Linked DNA regions of Oryctolagus cuniculus. The protein of the gene in region 2 purifies or fractionates together with the protein of the main gene of each other region. This does not show direct contact. Links are inferred from orthologs where the notes say so. Each region holds a gene or a part of one and is shown on either strand. Other genes may lie near its edges.

Region 1 (8,141 bases), on a different chromosome or scaffold from region 2:
AATGTTTAAAAACTGGATCACCTAGCAAAAAGGAAGAGAAGACCAAGGGCAAAGAATCACTTTGCATAGAAAATAGTAGCAACAGCTCTTCAGATGAAGATGAAGAAGAAAAATCAAAAGCAAAGATGACACCAACCAAGAAATACAATGGTTTGGAGGATAAAAGAAAATCTCTACGGACAACTGGATTCTATTCAGGATTTTCAGAAGTGGCAGAAAAAAGGATAAAACTTTTAAATAACTCTGATGAAAGACTTCAGAACAGCAGGGCTAAAGATCGAAAAGATGTGTGGTCGAGTATTCAGGGACAGTGGCCTAAAAAAACGCTGAAGGAGCTTTTTTCTGACTCGGATACTGAGGCTGCCGCTTCCCCACCCCATCCTGCCCCAGAGGAAGGGGCAACAGAGGAGTTACTGCAGACTGTGGCTGAAGAGGAGAGTTGTTCACCCAATGTAGAGTCAGAAAAACCACCACCAGTCAATGTTGATAGTAAACCCATTGAAGAAAAAACAGCAGAGGTCAATGACAGAAAAGCTGAGTTTCCAAGCAGTGGTAGTAATTCAGTGTTAAATACCCCTCCTACTACGCCCGAATCGCCTTCCTCAGTCACAGTCACAGAAGCCAGTCAGCAGCAGTCCTCTGTGACAGTATCAGAACCCCTAGCTCCAAACCAAGAAGAGGCTCGAAGTATCAAGAGTGAAACCGATAGCACAATTGAGGTGGACAGCGTTGCAGGGGAGCTCCAGGACCTGCAGTCTGAGGGCAATAGCTCACCAGCAGGCTTTGATGCAAGTGTGAGTTCCAGCAGTAGTAATCAGCCAGAGCCAGAACATCCTGAAAAAGGTGAGGAGGAAAAAAGTGTATGTTGACTTTTTTTAGAATTTCCCCTCTTAAATTTTTAATGGTTTCACAGTATCTCGTTTTAATATGACACATTTAAGTGATGTACTTGTGTGATCCTGGTAAAAGTGGAAATTTGAAAGGTAATCTAACTAATGAATAGTGAAATGCATTTAAAATCTTGAGGGGCCTTTAAAGTCCTTTGCTTGAGCCGTCCATGAACTTTCATAGTCGACCAGAACACATGCTGGAAATTGCACCCAGGCCAAAATCCACACCTGTTTGAAAAATCATTATATATGCTGGTTGACTATATGGCTTGAGCAACTGAAATATATTTCTGTAACATTGTTTTTGCAATTGTAATGTGCAGTTTCTCACAAACATTTTGATTTATTGACAGACCCCTCCACCCTTAACCAAATACTGTATGTAGGGGTTTGGAGCAACCAACTGTCCAGGCACTGCTTTCCTCAGACAACCGTGTCAAACTGATTTTCAAGCCTGACTAACTTGTGTGAGTCTGTAAAGGAATTTGATGCTTTCTTAGATGCATAGCTTCCAAATTGAAGGACCAATATATGTGTTAATAAACTATAGCATTACTTTTTTGATTTTCCGTGAAGTTGTTTAAAAGTGGAAATTCAAATTAGTACTTTCCAAAAGTATTAGTGCCTTTCGATGGTGCCATACCTATACATTTCTATCATCATTTTTCTTATAAACCAGTTCATTCAGGTAGCTTTGAATCAGTATACTCTAGGCTGACACTTGGCTTTTGAAACACATTTTTCCATTGGAAAGATAGAATGCATAGGGTATACATCAGGTTTTCATGTGCTAGCTATAGATTTTCAGCTAAACTCAAAAGAGAAACAATCTAGATTAGTTCTAAGGTTTTTCTCACAAATCTTAAAACATTTCTTCTTTTAAAAATTTTTTATTTATCTGTGAGACAGATAAAGAGCTTCATCCACTGGTCTGCTCCCCAAATTCCTATAATGTTCTAGGCTGGGCCCAGCCCAAGACAGTAGCCAGGAGCTCAACCTAGGTCTTTCGTAAGAGTGGCAGGAGCCCAACTATTTGAACTATCAGTGCTGCCTTCCAGGGTCTGCATTAGCAGGAAACTTGAGCCAGGAATGAAACTGAGGAGCTTTGATGTGGGATGCAAGTATCCTAACAGGTGTCTTAACCACAAGGCCAATCACCTGCCCTAAGACATTTCTTTTTAAAATTAATTAAGCAAAAAGTATAGTTGCAATTAAATCAAGATGATCTTTGTTTTTTGTTTTTGTTTTTGTTTTTTTTTTTCTGCTTTCACAAGTATACAGTTACTATAGTTACATCTGTGTGCCATACTCTTTCATGGAACCAAATTACCTCGGCATGAATGGAGTAATCTTCCATATGAAAGAATCTTTTGTCACAAATGATGAGATAGGCAGTCAACAACAGTATGATAAAATTTTACAGTTACATTTATTAGTAGGTTATATCCTCATGTTCTTCATTTCTTAAGAAAGATTAAAATTAACAAAAAAGTTATTGTATCATCTACAAATAGACTGTTAGTATTGCCTTTTTGATTTTAGTCTGGACTAGTTTGAAAAGTGTAGAAGTTAAGAGCTGCTCCCAAATTTAGGATGAGAGAAATCATCTGCTTTATCAAATCAAAATATTTTTTAATTGTTTAGAATATGTTTGGAATAAATTCTCAAGTATCCTTTGTATAAGGCCTGCTTTTAATAAATTTGGGAATATTAGAGAATCTGCATTAAGTAAAAATATGTTTCACTATTTAGTTTTTCCACTGTACTTTAGTGTTTATGGAAGTTTTTATTTCTTAGTATCTGAAAGCATTAAAATTAAACTCTTGGAGAGAAAAATGGCACTTAATTATAAAATTTTGTGCTTCAGTATAGTTGACATTTAAGTCACCATATTTATGTTTCACTTAAATCACATTAAAATAATGCTAAGAGAAATTATAAATAACATATCACCCTTTAAAAAAGAAAAGTATCTAGGAAGTTGCAAACATTTAATAGCCTGTCCCATTCTTGACCACAGTCATGTTTCAACACTGAAATATTGATTTTACCATTGGTAACAGAACCAGAAAACTTTGTAGTAAACCGTGCATGATTCTTTCATAATATTAATTTATATCATGTATTATAGTATCTGACATTGGAACTAAATGGAGATAGCACTTCATTCATCTGTGCCTGAAAGCATCTTTTGTGTAGTCTGAGAGATAATATAAATAATTAGAAAAATACTAAAACGTAGTAGATGCTAAGGACCAAATGAGTAGTATAGAAAGATACATCACTGGAATAGTGATTAATCCGTGAAGCTGGGAGCCTCAGGGAAGGTCTTAGTGAAGATGCAGGACTTGAGCTAGTCAAAGAAAAAGGAGACATTTATTTATCATGTATTGGGATAATTTCCCACCAAGATATTTCTTAGAATTACTGTATTGAGTTTGTAATATAGATATATACACACACACCATTGCAAATATATACATAATTATTTGTAATGTGTATATATATAGTATATATACACTTATACCATTGCAAATATATACAAACATTTGTAATGTATATTATATTGTAATATATTACATATATATTTTATATATAAAATAACCAGTGTCCTGAGAGCTAAGCTTTTTTGAAATAAGTGTTAAAAAACCAAGTGTGAATTATTACTAAAGTTTATCCCATTAATATTTTTATGCCACTTAAAATTATATTAATATCATTGTAAGACATAACATTGATATTTTTAAGCTGCAATTAAATTTTAATATTTTGATTTTAATGAATCTTAACAAATTTCAGTTTTTATTTTCAGCATTTACCTGTTTTTCAGTTTCTAGATATATAAACTCTCAGTGCTATATTGAAAACTATTTTCAATTTATACTGATTTTTCTAAGGATGTGTATACTTTATTTACTTTCTAAAATACCCTAATTTTTATTATATGCAAGAATTCAGCTTTGGTGAATGGTAGTTTATTAAAAATTTATATTAACTTGTATGATAATTATAAATCTCACAAAGACCATGTAGGTTTGGAACTGTTTTTTTTACAATGTGGAATTAATTTATACCTAGGGTATGTTTGATTTTATTTTGTGTTACTTAATTTCTTTCCCATCATAGCCTGTACAGGTCAGAAAAGAGTGAAAGATTCTCAGGGAGGAGGAAGTTCATCAAAAAAGCAGAAAAGAAGCCATAAAACGACAGTGGTAAACAACAAAAAGAAGGGAAAAGGCAGTAAGTGTGAAACCTCTAGTTTTTAAAATATAAAAATAATAGCTGATATACTTTGCCCCTCCCCATTAAGAAAAGGGTATTCAGAATATGGGATAGATCAATGTTTTTTTCTCACTACCTTCAAAAATGTCACACAAAAGTTTTCTGCCTCTCTGTAGGTAAAGCAACTCATGTTCTCCACACTACCATTAACCCTCCTCTTGTTTTTAAATAAGTTTTTAAAAAGGGGAGGGGCAGTCATAGAGTTTTCTGATCCTATAGTAAATTCTGTGATTTAAGCAAGTTGGTATTGTTCAGCAGCTGCATTGATTGTTGATGAATGATTGGTTAATCCTTTTAAAAATCATAACTAATGTAACATAAACAAATATCATTGTTACCTTTGTGTTCCAGTTTTTTTTCACTTAATTATCTATATCAAATATTGTACAGTTCTTCAGTCGTATATTTTTATTACCATGAAATTGGCTGCTTAGTAATTCTTCAAGGCAAAAGCAACATAGAAGGAAACAATCAAGATAGCTTTAGAATCATAATTCCAGCAATTCCAGTTTGTATTTATGTTTGGTACGCCACACTGTGTGACTCTAGAGCAACTACAAGCTAGTATGCTTCCAGCCAAATACTTAACTTTAGCAATGACGCTGCTCATTGACTTACAGAGAATATATTATACTATATTTCTCCTGAGGGCTGCACATTGTATCTCTCTTTTGTAGATAAAGGAAGAAGCGGAAAATATGTAAAGAATTTTTTTTCAGGTGTCCCACACTGACCTCCTGCTGCTCTTCCAGGAGACTCCTGCCACCTCCACTGCCTGACCTTTGCTAGCAGCCGGCTTGGCTGCACTTCAGTGCAGAAAAGGGTTATTCGGCCAGCTCCCCGAGGTTCTGCTGAGCCCATATGACTTCCAGGCGGTGAATATGGCATCCCTCGGGCCCCGGGCGGCTGTGCTCAGCAAGGCCATGAAAGCCAGGCAGAGGCAGGCCACTGCATAGAGTGGGACTGAGCCTTGGGTGACTTAGCTTGGAGCTGCCAGAGGTTCCAGAGCAGCAGTGGGAGGCTGGGAGGGAATTCAGATACAAAATGCGAAGAGTGGTGGAGTTTCTTTATTTCCAAAAGAGCACGGTGGGAGGAGATGCTATGTTCATTTATTTACTATTTGTAATACTTTTCAGGCTTTACAGCCTGTTTTTTTTCTTTTAATGGCTATTAAGTAAAGAATCAATATATCATAATGCAAATTGTTCATCAGTTATTTGGTGTAACTGATGGATATTTAAAATGATAGGATTCATTTTTCTTACATTGTGATATTTTTGTCTTCAAGACTTTATTGTTTAAATGACATTTCCTGAGAGGGCTCATCTTCAACAAGTTAGTTAATATATCCATACAGTATAGAGGGTGCAATAGTTGATTGAGTTTTTCCTATTTTAATTATTGGGATTCTGCCATGGTAAATCAGAATGAGTTAACTCTCTCTGAGAATGACTTGTTAAAGTGAATTAATTTCTGATGGAATCTAAAATAGTATTTTATATCCAAAAAGTAATTCATGGAAATACTAATCCTATCACCTATTCATATGGTAAGCTGTCAAGGTTAAGTATTTGCATTCTAGTACTAAATCTTAATTATCTAAGGCAGATGTAACATAACTGTTATACTGACTACTAAATTCTCATAAACTACTGGATATATTCATCCAGGAGGGAATTTACCAATGGAAAAGTGATGGTTTATTTTAGTCATAGGAGTTATTTAAGAAGAAATTTATTATACATGTCAAAACTGTGAGTGTATTTTCAAGGAATTCTTTATTGAATATGATGATTATGCTCTTTGTAAATGGCCAAGAGAGTAAGAAAATATTATGTGTCCTATTTTTTAAAAAAGTGATTTATTTATTTATTTGAAAGGTAGAGTTACAGAGAGAAAGAGAGAGAGAGAGAGAGATCTTCCATTTGCTGGCTCATTCCCCAAATGGCCTCAACTACCCTAGGCTGGGCCAGGCTGAAGCCAGGGGCTTGGAACTCCATCTGGGTCTCTGTATGGGTGGCAGGGCCCAAGTACTTGGGCCATCATCCTCTGCTGCTTTCCCAGTGCTGGAAGTTGGACTGGAAATAAAGCAGCCAGGACACTAACCAGTGTTCATATGGGATTCTGGTGTCCCAGGCAGCAGCCCAACCTACCATGCCACAACACCTGCCCTATCTAAAGTTTTTTAAAATTAAGAAGTTTCTAAAATATAATTCTAAAAGATGCTGCATTTTTACTCTATATAGTAACATCATAGATTTATAAAAACCTTCAGGTGATTGCTGTGTATTTGACAGGCTATGTAATTTGGAAGATTAGTGTGTTTTTATTATTATTATTATTATTATTGGCCGTTCAAATACGAACATATGTTTTTTTAAACTGGGATGCTGCTACATTTGTGTGTGATTTTTTTAGGTTTATGGGCAGACTGCTATAGTCATAAATTCAAATGGTTAGTTTAAAATTATACACTAAAAGCATGTGACAAATTCATTGTTACCCTTTTGGTTATTAATGTTTTTCTTTTTCTTTCAGCAAACAGTAGTGACAGTGAAGAACTTTCAGCTGGTGAGAGTGTAACTAAAACTCAGCCAGTCAAATCAGTTTCCACTGGAATGAAGTCGCATAGTACCAAATCCCCAGCAAGGACACAGTCTCCGGGAAAGTGTGGAAAGAATGGGGATAAGGATCCTGATCTCAAGGAAGCCAGTAATAGATTACCCAAAGTTTACAAGTGGAGTTTTCAAATGTGTAAGTGACATATGTTGACAAGTAAGCTGTAGGAAGTTCATCCTGGTAACTCTTAATGCTAGTACTCTGAAAAAGAGGCTATACCAAACTTAAGAGACATACTAACCAATTGCAGTGTATAGATCTGATTTGAATAAACAAATCACAAAAGAATAAATTTTATGAGAATGGTAGCAAACAATATGAAACTATGTTTTTGATATGCTAGAAAAAACAACCTGGTATTATATTTGAAGAATGGATAGGGTTACAGATGAGGCAAGATTTGTCATAATTGGTAATTACTGAAGCTGGGTGAAAGGCTAATGGACTTCAGTATACTTCTCTCTGTACTGTGTATATGTGAGAGATCTCCATAATAAAGGAAGTGTGTCTAAAAAAAGGCTGCACTAAAGCTTTTCACATAGGGAAATTCCACAGGTATTTTTTGGAGATTATAAATTGCTTTAGAGTTTTGATAGTTTTCTTTGAATATAAAAGCTATATGCATTCACCAAAATTTGAAACATAAAAACAACAGAAGAGAAAAGCTTGTCAGCAATTTTCTTCAAAAACATATAATGTTAAAATTTGGTGTCTTTCTAGTCTTATTTCTAAATATGATTTGCTTTTAAGATTTATTTTAATATTCATTTTATTTAAAAGAGAAAAAGAGAGAGAGAGACAGAAGAAGATCTTCCATCTACTGCCTCACTCCCCAGATGCCCACAATAGCCAAGACTGGGCCAGGTTGAAGCTGGGAGCCATAAACTCAGTCAGGTCTCCCACATGGATGATAAGGACTCCTAGAATGTGCATTAGCAGGAAACTAGAATTGACAGAAGAGCTGCACTAGAACCCAGGCATTCTGATACGATATGCAGCTGTTCTAAGCAGTATCTTAACCACAGTACTAAATGTTTCTCCTTAAGTATGATTTTTTTAATGATACATTGTGGTGGTACTGTAAATGAATGTAGAAATTTTAGCACACATATTTAGATTATAAAGTCTTTGATTCTATATTCCCTCAGCATATAGTATACATTTACTGTGTGCCAGGCATTGTTCTAAGTTATGAAAAAAAATAGGAAATAAATATTATGAAGCATTAGTTTTTTTTAGTTTTCCTGCCTTTATTCCATAACCATACTCTCTATGTACTCCCTTTTATGTTTACATTTTTTTTTTAAAGTACATATTGGGCAGATGTTTCCTCTATTGGTTAAGATGCTG
Region 2 (8,141 bases):
CTGAGGCGTCGGTCATGAGCCCCGCGGAGGCCCCGTGTGATGGGGGCAGCAGGTGTGGCAGTCGGTGCCTGTTCCTCCGGGCGAGGTCAAGGTCTCTGCCGAGGTCCTGTGAGGCTGGCCCAAAGGCCGCTCGGCTAGGTGGCGCTCGGCTAGGTGCTGGTAGTGCGTGCTCTAGGTGGTGTGCACTGGGTGGATGCCGTGACGCGGCACGGTCGGCTCCATAACTTCCGGTTTCTATGCCCTAATCTAGACAGCCGCACGGAGAAGCAGTTGCTCTGGGTGTCCGCTCCTCCAGGGCTCTCGCATGGGAAGGTGGTTTTAAGAGTTCACTGGGGCCGGCGCTGTGGTGTGTGCGTGTGTGCAAGGTGGTGGTAGCGAGTGCACTAGGTGGCCTGTGTGTGTGCCAGGTGGGCCTGAGCTGCCCCCTGCAATTCCGACAGGGCTGGGGTGGACGCGTCGTCCTCACCAGGCAGCTCCTGACCCAGTGAGGGGAGTGCTGGCTTATTCCGGAACTTCCTGGGGCCTGAGGGCCACGGCCCCTGTGAGCCTGCGTTTTCCAAGGCGCATGTTGAAGCCACCTGGCGTGAAACTGGCCCACCCGCCCGTGGGGGTGTGCCCTGTGCGGTGGGGTTTTAGCATCCTCGCCCCTGATTCCAGAACATTCCTGCCACCCCACTCTCGCCCCTGCAGCCCCTCCACGGCTCCCGGTCCCCGTGGATTTGCGTGTTCTGGACGTTCGGTCTGTGCAGCCCCAGGCCGTGGGCGGTTTCCAGGCCCCCGAGGCGCTAGCGCTGGCCCCTACTGTGGCCGAGTGGTGTTCTGTGGGCGGCTGGGCCACCTCGTTTGTCTGTTCACCCGCGGCCGGAGGCTGGGGGTGTTCCCAGAACCTCTTGTTGCCCGTTGAGAACACTGGCCTGGGCTGTCTGGGCGGCTGTTTCTTGTTCCTTGGGAGCAGGCAGCGGGTCTGCACCTGGGACTCTCTGGTTATGGTTTCTCTCGGGCACGCTGCGGAAGCCATCTGCGTTCAGTGGACGCCGACCGTGGGGCCGTGAACTTGGACCTCCTCTCATCCTCTCTGGGGATGCGGGGCGGGGGACAGCAGCGGCGGGCACAGAACCGAGGCTCACAGCTCCCACCACCTCCCCCACGTGTCCACGTCGGCGGAGCCAGCCGGCTGCCGGTGGAAACGCACTAGGGGAAAGGCCACACCTGTCCAGAACCTCGCGGCGGGACGCCGGAGCGCGCCTCAGCGCCCGCAGGTCGTCCCGAGACGCCCCCACCCCCGTCTACGCCAAGGCCACGCCCCTTCCTTAGGGGGCACCCGTGCCTTGGCAGGTGTTGGAGCCCGCAGGGGGCCTCGCCAGAGCTCCCGCCCATGGCTGCTGGGGGGCGGCCCTACCCAGCGTCCGTGGCAGCAGAGGGTGAAGGGACGCAGACGCACGCGCGCAGGGGGGAGACTGAGCGGCTACGCGGGAACCTCTGGGCTTCCCCACGCCTTCTGAGCGGCTTGGAAAACGGCTTCGTGCTGCTTCGACCCCGCCTCCCACCTGTGAAACTTTGCGGCTGTGGCCAAGGACACCCCCACCCCCATCACCGCCCCTGTTGCCGTGACAACTCCACGGGGGAGGGGCGGGGGGCGGTGCACCTGGCCTTGCCTGCCCCAGGCTTCTCCAGGTCGAGGTCGGTAGCAGGTTTGGTGTCGGGCAGTGCCGACAGCAGAGGGTCCCTCCCCTTCCCGTCTTAGAAGGTGCTAGAAGGCTGCCTTCCCAGATGGCCCAAAACTCAGCAGAGGATTGGACATTTCTCCCACGCGTGCGAAGTCCTCGCGGGGTTCCCAGAGCAGGGCTGGGAAGTGTTGGGGGGCAGTCTCTGCTGGCCGTGAGCCTGTTCCGTTTGTGCCCCCTTCGAGCCCCCCAGGAGTAACCTCGGTGTCCCGTAGAAAGTTCTAGGCTGTGTGCCGGGTGTCAGCGAGGGGTAACTCCCCGTCTCCTTGCCTGTCGCTGCAGGAGGACGCGCATGGACACGGCCACGGGGACTGCGCCGGGGATGTCAAGCAGCCTGCGCCGTACAAGGAGGACCGACCGCAGGCGGCGCTGGAGTCCGACTCGGTGGAGTTCAACAACGCCATCAGCTACGTGAACAAGATCAAGACCCGCTTCCTGGACCACCCCGAGATCTACCGCTCCTTCCTGGAGATCCTGCACACCTACCAGGTACGCCGGCTCCGGGCGGCTCCCGGGCCATATTTCTTTGCACCGTGCTCAGGTATATAGGACGTAAAAGTCACCATGCTGAGCGGAAGTGCAGCAGCCGGGACTCAAACCTGCACCTGTATGGGATGCCGGCGCTGCAGGCAGGGGTTGTGCGGGCTCGAGCCGCGAGGCCCCGGCGCTGCTGGGATGGTGGGGCCACGGCGTTCTTCCACGAGAAACACCGGAGACAAGTTAACCACCACACAGGTGGAGGGGGTGTGGCTAACTCAGGGCAGCGCTCACCCTATAGGGGAGAACCGATATGGGATATGGGTGCCGCTCTGCTTCTCCAATCAGCCCCAAGGTCACGGAGCTCGGCTAGCACCCCAGGTGGTCCTGATGGGCCTGCGCCACACCCGGGAGCTCCCTGTTACAGGGAGCCGGGTGGGGAAAAGTGCCTGCCAGCAGTCAGGGTGTGGGGCCCCTCCAGGAGGCCTGGGGCTCCCGGCTGTCCACCTCCTGCCCGGGCAGGGCAGACTCCCTGCCAGGCACAGCGTCACCCTCACTGCTTTCTTTTGTACTACAAAGGAGCAAGCTTGCGTAACTGACTTCCAAATAAAAGAGGGAGACACAGAGCGCTTCCACCCACTGGTTCACTCCCCAGTTGGCCGCAATGGCTAGAGCTGGGCCAGGCCAGAGCCAGGAGCTCCATCCGGGTCTCCCACGTGGGTGCAGGGGCCCAAGCACTTGGGCCATCCTCCTCTGCCCTCCTGGGCCACTGCACGGAGCTGGATCAGAAGTGGGGCAGCTGGGACTCGAACTGATGCCCATATGGGATGCCTCAATGCCAGCCCCGTGAAACATACCTTTTAATTCGCTTTTTGGGTAACCTGTTTGAAGTTCCCTCATGTTCTGACTGCCAACTTGAGTGCAGCTGGCTGGTTCCTGTCCTCTGGCCTTGGCCCCCCGGTGCCGGTCACTGCCTTGATCTGGTCGGGCCGCCTGCCCAGCGTGGCCCGCTGCTGGCTCCCCACGCCTTCTGCGTGGGAGCGGCTGTGCGCCCGACTCTGACCTTGTGGTTCCCCAGCCCCCGGGTGCCCATCTGCAGCCGGGGCTGAGACGGCTGTGCACCGGCCGGTCCCCGGAGGCTTCCGCCTCGTGCAGGCCCCGGGGAGCCCGGCCCCCCGGCTGACGCTCCCTCCCCGCCCCCTTGCCTCCCCGGGCGGCAGAAGGAGCAGCTGGGTGCCAAGGGCCGGCCGTTCCGTGGCATGTCGGAGGAGGAGGTGTTCGCCGAGGTGGCCAGCCTCTTCCGCGGCCAGGAGGACCTGCTCTCCGAGTTCGGCCAGTTCCTGCCTGAAGCCAAGCGCTCCCTGGTGAGTGCCCGGGCCCGCGCCAGGCCGGCACACCGCCTGGACCCGTGGGCTGCCCCCAGCCCGCGCCGGCTGCACCGTGTGGCCACTCCACCCGCAGTGGTTCTTAAACTGGCGCTGGGGGCGGGGGTGGCCACCACCTCTCAGGTGCTGGGTGGGACTGGGGCCGGCCTCGGGGTGGATGGGAACGTGGGGGTGGGGGGGAGGGGGCAGGCCGCTGCCGGTGCTGTCTTGTCCACTTCCTCTTTTCTCACCCTCTTTCCAGTGAGCCTGCAATTTTGGTTTTTTCCTTTTATTGATGTGGAATTCAGGCAACAAAATTCACCATCTCCAAGTGGCGTTTGGGGCACTCACAGGGTTGGACAACCTCCGTCTCTTCTCTGGCCCCATCCTAGTGCCTGGAGCTGGGTGCCCTCAAGGGCCTGGACTCTGGGGGCTCCAGCCCTCCTGACCCCCCAGGTCGTGTGTCGGCTCCCTGTCATGTGGGGACCCAGCAGGGCAGTAGCGTTCTTGCCGGAGAAGCAGGTGTAGACACGGGCACTCGTGCAGGAGGAGGTGTAGATGCTGGGCATTTGTGATAGAGAAGCAGGTGTAGATACTGGGCCCTCATGCAGGAGAAGCAGGTGTAGACGCGGGGCCCTTACGCAGGAGAAGCAGGTGTAGACGCGGGGCCCTCACGCAGGAGAAGCAGGTGTAGACGCGGGGCCCTCACGCAGGAGAAGCAGGTGTAGACGCGGGGCCCTCACGCAGGAGAAGCAGGTGTAGACGCGGGGCCCTCACGCAGGAGAAGCAGGTGTAGACGCGGGGCCCTCATGCAGAAGCAGGTGTAGACGCGGGGCCCTCACGCAGGAGAAGCAGGTGTAGACGCGGGGCCCTCACGCAGGAGAAGCAGGTGTAGACGCTGGGCCCTCGTGCAGAAGCAGGTGTGGGCTGGAGCTTGCAGGCTTCGCCCTGCCTGGCCTGGGGAAGACCCCCGGGAGTACTGGAGGCGGGGCTACGGGAGTCCCCCAGGGACAGGGACGGCCCTCTTCCGCAAGCCTGTGTCCCGGCCCCCTGCCCTCTGATGCGCCTTCCCCTGAATTCCGGGCCCTGCCCGCTCTCAAGTTCAGAATCTGCCCTGTCCCCTGCCTCTTCCTGGGGCCCTGGCTGCCTGCCCGCTCCAGGGACTCGGTACCCGCGGAGCAGACGGGTCTCAAGGCCTGCCTGTGTGGCGCAGCCGCGTGGTGGGCCATGTGGGCCCCCGTGTCCCCCCGCTGTCCCCGGGGCCGCTGGGTGTTGTTTGTGGGTGGTCCCCCCTGGGTCTGGGTGTCACCGCTGTGTCCCACACCTGCAGCGCTCCGCCTAGCACGCTGCCCCCAGATGGGACCTGCGGTGTCCACGCTGGGCTCCCCAAGCCACCGCTGCAGCACTGAGCGGGCAGGGCGGTCTGGCCCTCACGGTCTCAGGAGGTGCTGTGGCTGCCTCCCGGAGGGGAGGCGCTGGGGTAGGAGCCTGGGGGATCAGCGCCCCCTGTGGGCCGCGGGGAGGAGGCCGAGAAAAGTTTGCTTAGGGAAGTCCCGGCCGGAGTGACCCCCCCCCCCCGTGTCCTGGGGTCAGTGTTGCACGTGGGGCTCCGTCTACTGGGCTGTGGGGCGTGCACAGTGGACACTGCCATGGGGGAAACAGGCCGGCCGATCTGTTCCTGCCCAGTGGGTGTCGGGGGTGGGGGGACACTCTGGTTCTCTGGTGGCTGTGGCCACAGCGCCCTCTGGTGGGCGCAACTCAGCCTTCGCCAGGCGGCCCTTCCGATGCGGGAGCCGCATCGCCCAGGAACAAAGTCAGTGTAGCATCGTTAGTGACTCGGGCACAAGAGCGCCCTTGTGCGTTGAGAAAGAGCTGGGCCGGTCCAAAGCCAGCAACCATCCGGGTCTCCCACGCGGGTGCAGGAGCAACCACTGCTTTCCCAGGCCATGGCAGGGAGCTGGATCAGAAGTGGAGCAGCCGGGACTCGGAGCGGCGCCCACATGGGATGCCTGCCGGCGCCGCGGGCGGCTTCCCCACTGGGCCGCGCTGCCGCTGTATGGCCCGCACTGCGGGTGAAGATCCTGGTGCTGAGTCGGCCGTTCCAGAGCCGCTTGTGTAGGCCCGGGTGCCCGCTGGGGAGAAGCAAGGGCTGGCGGCTAGCCCAGGAAGCAGGCCCCCCACCAGCTCCCGGCCCAGCCCCCTTATGTCCCACAGAGGAGAGAGCCCGGCCGTGTCGGGTGCGGTGGGTAAGACGCCCGCATCCCACAGCAGAGCACCTGGCTCCACTTCCCACCCAGCTCCCTGCAAATGTACCTGGGCAGGCCCCGCCCCCACGTGGGAGACCCGGATGGAGCTCCTGGCTCCTGGCTCCAGCGCTGGCTGTTGTGGACGGCTGGCGGGCGTGCTGTCACTTTTGAAATAAGTAGAAGTAGAGAACTTTTTTTTCTAAAGGAAAGAGCCCAAACCTTGGTGTCCAGGCTCCCATCGGTGGCCTGGTGCACAGCAGCCCCTCCCCCCCATTTCCGGGGCGCTCACGTGCAGGCGGTGGGGTGGCCCCGGCGGGGAGCACCTCCGGCAGCTTCTGGCTTCACAGGCGCCTGCCTGCGGGGCTCCGGGCCCCTCTTCCTCCCCCGCCGCAACCCGGCCCCCTCGCTGACCACCCCACGCCCCGTCCTCAGTTCACAGGAAACGGGCCGTGCGAGACGAGCAGCGTCCCCAAGGCCGGACACGAGAGGGGCTTGGAGCACAGCAAAAAGCGCTCGCGGCCCTCGCTGCTCCGGCCCGTGTCGGCGCCGGCCAAGGTAACGGGCGGGGGCTGCGGGCGCCGGGGTCCCCGGGCCCCAGAGGCGGGCGGCGGGCCTGAGCGGCGCGCTCGTCTCCGCAGAAGAAGATGAAGCTTCGTGGGAACAAGGACCTGTCCATCGCGGCCGTGGGGAAGTACGGGACCCTGCAGGAGTTCTCCTTCTTCGACAAGGTCGGCGGGGCGGCGGGGGCCCTGGTGAGGGGGGCTGAGCCCCTGTCCCCGCCCCGCCGGAGCTGAGCCGCCCCCGCCCCCGCAGGTGCGCCGCGTGCTCAAGAGCCAGGAGGTGTACGAGAACTTCCTGCGCTGCATCGCGCTCTTCAACCAGGAGCTGGTGTCGGGCTCCGAGCTCCTGCAGCTGGTCAGCCCCTTCCTAGGGTGAGCCCCCGCCCCCGGGTGCCGCCTTCCCCACCGCGCTCCGCCCCTGGCCCCGTGCTGTGCCCGCCCCCTGTGCGGGAGGCGGAGCCGGTGGGCCCCGCCCTGCAGGGGAGCTCGAGAGCCAGAGCTCCCATCATCTCTGCCTGCAGCAGGTGGGCCGGGCTCGGCCAAAACCGGGGCTCCCCGTGAGGGGCGGGGCCCCACGCGCTTGAGCCGCCCCTGCCGCCTCCCAGGTGCGCGTGGTTAGCGGGGAGCTGAGGGCCGCCGTGGAGCTGTGCCCAGCCCCGGCACCCTCGAGGCCTGAGTGCTCGCCCCACGTCGGGACACAGGACCCTTGCACTTGCTGTGCCCTGGCCAGGCCTTTACAGACCCGACTGGCCTGCACCTCGGAAGCCTCACAGGATGTAGTGCAATTCTAGAGAGCCCCCCCCCCATAACCAACCCCTCAGAAGCCCTGGCCCCCCGGAACCTCGCGTGCCCCCACAGCAGCGTCCAGCACCCCCTGTAGGGCCCAGGGGCTGGCGACTTCGGGAGCTGACTGCGCATGCGTGCTTCACGCTCACGCCCGCAGCCCTGGGTCCCGCGCACCTGTGGCGTGCAATGGCTGCCTCGCCAGTGGGGGTCGTGAAATGTTCCCTCCCCGCAGTTTCCGGGAGCTCCAAGAGCACCCGCTCCCGCAGCCCCTAACGTGGCGTCTCAGGGGTGTCAGGGCACCTTTGGGCCCTGCTTGCTGCGCATGCGCACCCTGGGAGGCGACAGGGGGCAGCTCCAGTCCTCTGGCCCCTGTACCCACGTGGGAGACCCGGCTGCCTGGCCAGGGATCAGCAGGCCGGGTTTGTTCCCACGCTGGGTCCTGGGCAGACAGTCTGCTCCCTGGGGTCGCCCTTGGTTTGTCTTGTAAGCGTCTTAGGAACACATAGGTGTGAGCGTATTTGATGCTGCGTCAGACAGAAATGCCGGGGCGGGGGTCGGGGGTGTTAAGATATTAGATGCACGTGCGTGGTGGCCACGCGGCCCGCAGAGGGGAGACTGTGGATCGGCAATCGGCTGCCTTGGCCTGGGAAGGACCCGATGGCCCTGTGGAAACTTCTCAACTCTGCCCTCGGGCAGAGCGGCCACAGCCGGGGCCTCTGCAGGGGTCGCTGATAAAACTTGATTAACAAGAGCGGGCAGCGGGTAGATGGGCCAGCGTCCGCACCTGGGCTCTGGGCACCTTAGGTCCGTGGGAACGGGCCCAGGTAGTGGCAGGGCAGGTGCACTAGTGCTCCTGGGGCTCTGCAGCCATCTCCGCCCGCACCCCCCAACCCCGCGTCCCTGGCCTTGAACGCTGGGCCAGGGGGCCCTCCAGTCTCAGGCCAACTCTCCCGTGTTTGCTCGTGGCAGGAAGTTCCCGGAACT
Region 3 (8,241 bases), on a different chromosome or scaffold from region 2:
GTACCAACGAGCATCTTTTTATGTGACCATAAGCCATTCATATACATTTTCTTTTATGAAGTGTCTACTCAACCATGTCTATTTTTAATCAATAAGCTTTACTGAGATACAACTTATATGTAAAATTCACTAATTCTTTGGGTAAGCCTAGATAAAATGTCACGAAAGTGGACCGCAGGATAACCACAATGTGATCTGGACATCTGGATATGGGGCTTTTCCCACTACTCCAATAAGCTCAGTCATGTCCACTGCAGTCCACTCCCTCTCCCACGGCTCTGCTCGCTGCCACTACAGCTTTGTCATTTCCGTAATTTCTTATGCACAGAATCACAATCTAAGGTCCTGTGTATCTGGCTTCTTTCCCTCAGTGTAATGTGTCTGAGGTTTAGCCATGCTGTTGGGGTGCTGGCAACCTGGTCTTTTTATTGCTGAGTAGTATTTTTTTTTTTTTAAAGATTTATTCATTTTGAAAGTCAGAGAGAGAGAAAGAGAAAGAGAAAAAATCTTCCATCCACTGGTTCACTTCCCAGATGTCTGCAACAGCCAGGGCTGGGCCAGGACACAGCCAGGAGCTTCATCCAGGTCTCCCATGTGGGTGCAGGGACCCAAGCATTTGGGCCATCTTCTGCTGCCTTCCAGGCACATCAGCGAAGAGCTGGATCACAGTAGAGCAGCTGGGACATGAACCAACGCACATATGGGATGCCACCACAGCTCTGGTCCCACTAAGTAGTATTAAACTGCATGGATATACCACCACAGTGGTAGTTTATTATTTGCATATGTCACAATTTGTCTATCACCAGCTAATAAATACCTGAGTTTTTCCCAAGTTTTGGCTATTATGAATAAAGCTTCTATAAGCATTTGAGTACAAGTCTTTGTATAAACATGTTCTCATTTATTCTAAGTAAATACCTAAAGAACGGAACTGCTCAGTTGTGGCATGTGTTCGACAAGATAATTGCCAAACTGTTTTCCAAAGCGGCCAGTCCCTCTTGCATTCCCATCAACAGTGCATGAGTTCTATCTGCTCTACATCCACACCAATACTTGGCAGTGCCCGCTTTCTAATTTCAGTCACACTAGTGGAATTCTCACTATGGATATAACGTGCGTTGTTCCGAGGATTGATCATTTCAGCACCTTTTCGTGTGTTTCATTTGCTCTCCTCATTTTGGTGAAGTGTCTATTCAAATATTCTGCTCATTTTAAAAAAACCAAGTTCTTTATCTTTTTCCTACTGAGTTATAATGCTTAACATATTCCAGTTATGAGTCCTTTATAGAAATATTTTTCACAAATGTCTTCTTGTCTTCTGTCTGTGGCTTGCCCTTTTTTTTTTTTTTTTTTTTAAAGATTTACTTATTTGAGAGGCAGAGCGACACACAGAGGAGAGACAGTGAGAAAATCTTCCATCCACTGCCTCACTCCCCAAATGGTCACAATGGCTGGAGGTGGGCCAATCCAAAGCCAGGAGCCAGGAGCTTCTTCTGGGTCTCCCACACGGGTACAGGGGCCCAAGCACGTGGGCCACCCTCCAACACTTTCCCAGGCCATCAGCCCAGAGCTGTTTCAGAAGAAGAGCAGCAGGACACGAATTGGCGCCCACATGGGGATGCCGACACTGCAGATGGAGGCTTAACCCACTACACTGTGGAGTGCCGGCCCCCAGGCCCTTTTATTTTCTTAAAGATGTCTTTTGAACAGCAGACAATTTAAACTTTGAGGATAATATATCGGTTACTACTTTTAAAGTTTTCTATTAAAAAATCAGTTACTACTTTCATGATTAGTGTTTGTTGTAATTGAGCGATTTTTGTTTAACCCAAGGTTGCAAAGTTTCTCTGATGTTTCTTTCAGAAAGTTTAAAAGTTATATTTAGGTCTTGAGTTAAGGTCAAGGTTCATCATTTCCCATATTCTAGTGGTCATTTCCCTACTGAATGACTTAAACATTTTGGTCAAAAATCGACTGACCACGTAGGTCTGAGACTACTTTTAGAGCTTCCACTTTTTTCTAGTGACAGATGTTTCTATCTTTTTTTCTCCTTGAAATATTCATTCATTCATTCATTCAGAGAGCGTTAAGGAGAGAGAAACAGAGACTGATCTTCCATCTGCTGGTTCATTCCACAGATGGCCACAAGAATCTAGAAGGGCCGGCGCCATGGCTCAATTAGTTAACCCTCCACCTGCGGTGCCGGCATCCCATATGGGCACCGGTTCTAGTCCCGGTTGCTCCTCTTCCAGTCCACCTCTCTGCTGTGGCCTGGGAAGGCAGTGGAGGATGGCCCAAGGTCCTTGGGCCCTGCACCCGCATGGAAGATCAGGAGGAGGCACCTGTCTCCTGGCTTCGGATCGGCGCAGCGCGCCGGCCGTAGCAGCCATTTCGAGGGTGAACCAACGGAAGGGAAGATCTTTCTCTCTAACTCTGCCTGTCAAAAAAAATAATAATAAAAAAATTAAAATAAATAAATAAATAAAAAAGAATCTGGAAGCTTCATCCTTGTCTCCCATGTGGGTGACAGGGGCCCAAACTCCTGGGCCATTTTCCACTACTTTCCCAGTCCATTAGCAGGGAGCCAGGTCAGGAACAGAGCATTCAGGACATGGGCCAGCAGTCATATGGGATGACCACAATACTGGCCCCTATATGTTTCTATCTCAACACTGATATTGCTTAGTCTTAACTAGTGCAGCTTTACAACCAGTCCTGAAGTAAGGGTGTAGTGTCCTCCCGCTTCTTCTTTGGTCAAAATTGCCTTGGCCATGTTAGATCCTTCAAATAGCCCCAGCAAGTTTAGAACCAGGCTGTCAATCTTTACAAAAGAGCCTGCTGGGATTCTGAGTAGGGTTTCTCTGAATCTTTAGATCACGTTGGTAGAATTATCTTAAAATTACTGAGCTTTCAAACTCATGACCTTTTCCTTTATCTAGTTTCTCCCTCTCTCTCTGTAACTCTTTCTAGTAAGTAAAATAAATCATAAAAAAAAAAAAACTCATTAATGCATTTGAAAAACAGCTCTTACAGGCACATTTTACTGTGAGTTGCCTATGTATTCCAGTACATGAGTACATGTGAATGAAGTGATTAAAATACTAGGGGAAAAAAAGACTTTTTCAAATTAGAATAGTAAAATACACTTTCTTCAACCTCAATACACTAGTATGTACTAAAACCCAAGATGAAATTAGCTGATTTTTAAGTTAGAAAACTGGCAATGTTGGTAAAGCAGGAAGCGATAAAGAATATTACACATCTCACCTGTAGCAGCTGGGTTTATCAATCCTGCAGAGCCACTGTTTGCAATCTGTGAAGGAGCCTGGCTCAGCCCGGTGGAAGGGGTTCCTAACCGAGGGAACTGTTGAGAACTCATTTCCACCTGTAGGACAGAGTCATGTCGTTATTACTAGATTCTAAAGCAGAATCGATATCTGCAACTTAAGCCACCTTTACTGTCTATGACATCTTCTCTTGGAATAGCTAATCTAGCATAATTTAACTAAAATAACAACTTGCAATCCAAATATGAGGTGTCTTCAAAAAGTCAACCATGCAGAGATCTCAAAAATATTCTGCATCTAAATAAACTTATCTTTAGATTCCATTTGCCATCAACTTGTTCAACTGCTCTTGTAAGTGCTGGCATTATTTAAATTATGTGTAAGTTTCTGATATATAGGAGATCAGTAAGTGTACCGTGCAGGGGGATACCTGTGGACTATGAATTTTGCAAAACAGCTACATGATAGGTATCACCACAATGCATAATGGACCTATAAAGTTTTAGGGAAAAAAATGACACGTCCCTTTGAAAGGTTCGAATCGCACAGCAAGGTGAGCAGAACTACGATTGGTGTGTAAAGGAAGGATTCGAAGGGGTGATTCCCAACCCAAAGGAGGGACTCAAAATCTCACATCAAGACGTGATGCAAAAGGAATTCTCCAGCGCTTTTCTGCAAAGGCCTCCATTTACGGATTTCTTTTATCCTCCCTCTCTCACAAGCCCCCGCTGAGCCAGGGGACGCCGAGACCTCCACCTTCTCTGAAATAGCCTCCCACTTCGCCCTCGAGAGTCAGGGTCTGCCAATCTCCCCCATTCCCCTGCAACCCCACCCCACCCCGAACCCCACGCCGAGGTCGCAGCGCCCAGGCTTCCAGACACTCCGGGTGCCTGAGACGCCGACCCCGGAGGAAGTCAGCGTCCCGGGGAGACCCCAGACAACACAAGCAGCGAGCCCCTTTACCTGTAGCCGCCGCCCGCCGCCCGCACCTCCGGCTTCCATCTCGCCGGCCTGGGGCTGCCGCGGAGGGCCCATCTCGGCGGCAGCGCTGGGCTCCGGGGCCGCGGAGAGGACTCGTGCCGGAGCGCTCCCCGCGCCCGCCGCTGTCCAGCCCAGCCAGCCCCGCTCACCCCGCCAACCCGGCCGCCGCGGGGCTCCCAGGCGTCTCTTCCCCCGAACCTGCCCCTACCTCCCCCGCCCGCCCATTGGCCCCACGCCCGGCGCGTCACTAGAGGCCGAGCACCAATCCATAGCGGCCTGAGAGCTCTGGGCCCGCCCCACCCTCCCGCCGACCGCCAGCCAATCAGGCGCGAGCCTCGCTGGGGCAGCCCAAACCCCTCGAGGCTGAGCCAATGGCAGGGGAAGACAAGCGCTCCCGGCAAGGGGGGCGGGGAGCTGGGAGGCCCCGCCTCGGCCGGGGTCTGAAAGCGGCGGGCGCAGGGCCCGGATGTGGAGAGTCACTTTAAACTGCTCCAGGAGCCAAACTCCCTGGGCCGCCCGCCCGCCCGCGCTCCCTCCACAGCTCCGCTTCCCCGCCGAGGCCCACGTCCGCCACGCCCCCATGCCTGGGTCAGCCCACCCCTCCCGGTGCCTCTCCCTTCCTCGCCGCAGGACACCCGGACCCTGCCTCCGCCCCAACCGCCGTGCGCAGCTCGCTAAAGACCCGGGGTCCGAGCCGCAGGAGCCGAGACACCTCTGCCCTTCCCCGGGGACGCGCAGCGGGACGGACGCTGCAGCCCGGCGCGGCCGCCCCGCCCCCTCGCCTCCTCCCCTCCCCTCCCCTCCCGGGCGCCCGTCCCGCCATTACCTGGGTGCTGCGCCGAGTGGTCGCCGCGCCGCCTCGAGCTCGCTCCCGTGCGCTCTCCGCCTGCAGGACCGACGTCCTCGGGCTCCGGACCCGCAGCCGCCGCCGGGGCGCTAGCACTCTGCCCCCCACCCCTCACTCCGGTGCCGCTGCTTCCGCCGCCGTAACGAGCTTGTCGCCTACTGGCTGGGGGAGGCCCCGCCTCGCCCCGGAGGAACCAATCCCTGCCCGCTGTGAGCCGGGGAGCGGACGGGCCTGCCCCTCGAAGCCGCGGGGGCCTCTGGGAAGTGTAGTCTCCGGAGCCAGGAGGGCGGGCCGGGAAGGAGGTGGAGAGCGCCGGGGCGGGGCCTCCCGGCGACTCGACCGGTGCTACACACCCCTTTGCCGTCTGGAGTCGGTTCTGCCTTTTCTCTTTGCCGAGTGAGAGAGGACGGTGGATCCCACCCCTTCGCCTCAGCCTGACGGCGCTAGGTTTCATTTTCCCGAGGGGCGGGCGGTGCGGCGCGGCGCGGGAATGGCAATGGAGGCCGAGCCGACCTCGGCGAGCCGGAGGGGCCGCGGGCAAGGCCGAGGGTGTTTCGGGCTGTGCTTGGGGCCTACTGTGGCTGCCGAAGGCCACGGCGGGCCAAGCCTGAGCGTCGCGGGAGGATGGGGTCTGCGCCGGGCCTGTCTCCGAGCCAGCTCCCGCGGTTGAAATCAGCGGGCTCGGAGCGGGGCTCTGACACGCAGCTCGGAAAGGCAGCTGCCCGAGCTCTCCTGGTCTTCAGAGAAGCCAGGAGCGGCGCTTTGCTTGGTTTGGAGTTTATACACCTGTCGAAGGCTTAGCCAAAACTAGAATACGGCCCCTCTCCCCTTCCCAGACGGTCATAAAGGCCTGGAGTTTCTGAATTAGTTAAAAAACAAACGGGTCGCAAATCCCTTCTTGGCATCCTGCAGACTTCGGTAATTTAGCAAGGAATTAGCCCCTGGCTACCAGGCTGCCTCTCAAGTGCCCCTCTTCCTCTTTCAGGTCACTTTTCTTCCCCCACTTTATTCTCCCCTTCATTCTCAAACTCCTCAAAGCAACTGATGGAATATTCTTTAGTCTCCTCTCTCTCCACTTGTTGGAATCTGCTGTCCCCCGCCTTTTCAAACTGCCCCACTAAAGCTGCTAACACCGACTTAACTTCACACCCAGGGCTGTGCTTAGATCTCTTGCTTAGCTTACTGACCAGGAATTCATCATTTAAGCCTCCCTTGCTCTCTCCTGGTTCTGCTCCAGTTTGTATCACTCCCCAAATGGCCAGGGCTGGAGCCAAGAGCTCAGAGCCCCACTCTTGGGCCATCATCCACTGCCTTCCGAGCACGTTAGCAGGGAGCTGGATCAGAAGTCGAGCAGCAGGACTTTAACCAGAGATGCCCACGCTGAAGGGGGTGGCTTAACCCGTTGCTCCACAGCACCCTTATCAGTTCTGCCAATTCTATAATGCCCAACTGGAAAGAAAATAGTTTCTCTTGTTCAAGAAACTTTCCTCAATTCTGCTTCCCCTACCCTCTTTCATACTTCTGTGGTGCTTTGTCATACAAAGGTGTAGGGGCCGGCTCATTGATCACTTGGGTTAATCATCCCATTTGGGCGCCGGGTTCTAGTCCTGGTTGCTCCTTTTCCAGTCCAGCTCTCTGCTGTGGCCTGGGAAGGCAGCGGAGGATGGCCCAAGTGCTTGGGCCCCTGCACCCGCATGGGAGGCCAGGAGGAAGCACCTGGCTCCTGGCTTCAGATTGACATAGTGGTCATTTGGGGAGTGAACCAATGGAAAGAAGGCCTTTCTGTCTCTCTCAGTATCTATAACTCTACCTGTCAAATAAGAAGAGAGAGAGGTGCTTCAGAAAGTTCATGGGAAAGTAGAATTAAAAGACTTATTTGGGGGCCGGTGCTATGGCACATCTTGTTAATGCCCTGGCCTGAAGTGCCAGCATCCCATATGCGTGTCAGTTCTAGACCTGGCTGCTCCACTTCTGATCCAGCTCTCTGCTATGGCCTGGGAAAGCAGTAGAAGATGGCCCAAGTCCTTGGGCCCCTGTACCCACGTGGGAGTCCCAGAAGAAGCTCCTGGCTTTAGATTGGTACAGCTCCGACCGTTGAGGCCATCTGGGGAGTGAACCAGCGGATGGAAGACCTCTCCCTCTCTTTGCCTCTCCTCTTTCCGTGTAACTCTGACTTTCAAATAAATAAGTAAATCTTCAAAAAAAAAAAAAAAGACTTATTTGAGCATTTAAAAGGTAACCTGTAGAGGTGAAACTGACACTACGAGAAGCAATTTCTTGAACAGCCCTTGTCTTGACTGTCAAGGAACAGTTCAATATTTCATTTTATTTATTTTTTTCTACTTAATACGATTGATTGAACTCTTTACTTAACAGAATTAAGCATAGGTCTATTAAGTCCATTGAAAATAGATCCCAGTTAAAAATGAGAGAGGGAATGAGAGAGGGATGAGCTGAACAGATTGGCACACATTCCCACAGCCTGTCCCTAAGGGTGAAGCTAAAAACTTGCCAAGGGACTCCAAATCCCATTAAGCTAAAGTGGCACTAATCACATCTTATGTGATAAAGTGATCATATTCAATGTGGAATTGATCATATAGATAGGACAAAAAGCAAAAGGGTCACATAAATAAGACCAAGTGCTTGGTAATAACAATAGATAGAATTACAAAGGAGAGAGAGTTCCAACATGGGAAGCAGTCCACACAGTAGACTCATAGAATGACAAATGCCTTGAATAGCACTCTGACCTCAGAATCAGTCCCTAAGGCATTCAGATGTGACTGAAAATCTCATGAGAGCATTTCAGGCATGGAATGCCAAGACACTGTGGCAAAAACTGTGCTGCATGAAAGATCTCTGTAAGTGAGACCCCAGTGGAATGAAGGGGCCATCAAAGAAGGAGCTACTTTTCTCTGGAGGGAGGAGAGAACTTCCACTTTGCATATGGCCCTGTCTAAATACTGATGGAGTTTGTGTACTCAAAAGACTTCCATAGCCTTAGCAGCTCATGTCAAGAGCCTTGGGTGGTCACTGATGTCAAAAATAAGAGTGTTAATTGTTAAATCAACAACAGGAGTCACTGTGTACTTAGTCCCCATGTTGGACCTCTGTGAGAAT

Evidence for each region.
Region 1: the proteins of SIN3B (region 2) and ARID4B purify together in Homo sapiens (affinity purification with mass spectrometry; 3 studies listed by BioGRID and IntAct, with this or other methods). This does not show direct contact. The link is inferred for Oryctolagus cuniculus from reciprocal best matches to the Homo sapiens genes SIN3B and ARID4B.
Region 3: the proteins of SIN3B (region 2) and SAP130 purify together in Homo sapiens (affinity purification with mass spectrometry; 3 studies listed by BioGRID and IntAct, with this or other methods). This does not show direct contact. The link is inferred for Oryctolagus cuniculus from reciprocal best matches to the Homo sapiens genes SIN3B and SAP130.

Annotation. Positions count from the first base shown.
Region 1 is NC_091444.1:54,441,962-54,450,102, reverse strand, and holds part of ARID4B (AT-rich interactive domain-containing protein 4B), read left to right. Parts: coding exon 1-843; intron 844-1,243; exon of another isoform or gene 1,244-1,357; intron 1,358-4,016; coding exon 4,017-4,130; intron 4,131-4,891; coding exon of another isoform or gene 4,892-4,905; exon of another isoform or gene 4,906-5,041; intron 5,042-6,710; coding exon 6,711-6,926; intron 6,927-8,141. UniProt on the Homo sapiens protein: Acts as a transcriptional repressor. May function in the assembly and/or enzymatic activity of the Sin3A corepressor complex or in mediating interactions between the complex and other regulatory complexes.
Region 2 is NC_091447.1:65,107,378-65,115,518, forward strand, and holds part of SIN3B (paired amphipathic helix protein Sin3b), read left to right. Parts: intron 1-2,006; coding exon 2,007-2,213; intron 2,214-3,421; coding exon 3,422-3,565; intron 3,566-6,243; coding exon 6,244-6,366; intron 6,367-6,449; coding exon 6,450-6,539; intron 6,540-6,624; coding exon 6,625-6,743; intron 6,744-8,126; coding exon 8,127-8,141.
Region 3 is NC_091434.1:118,466,594-118,474,834, forward strand, and holds the start of SAP130 (histone deacetylase complex subunit SAP130), read right to left. Parts: upstream 4,435-8,241; 5' UTR 4,326-4,434; coding exon 4,254-4,325; intron 3,389-4,253; coding exon 3,271-3,388; intron 1-3,270. UniProt on the Homo sapiens protein: Acts as a transcriptional repressor. May function in the assembly and/or enzymatic activity of the mSin3A corepressor complex or in mediating interactions between the complex and other regulatory complexes.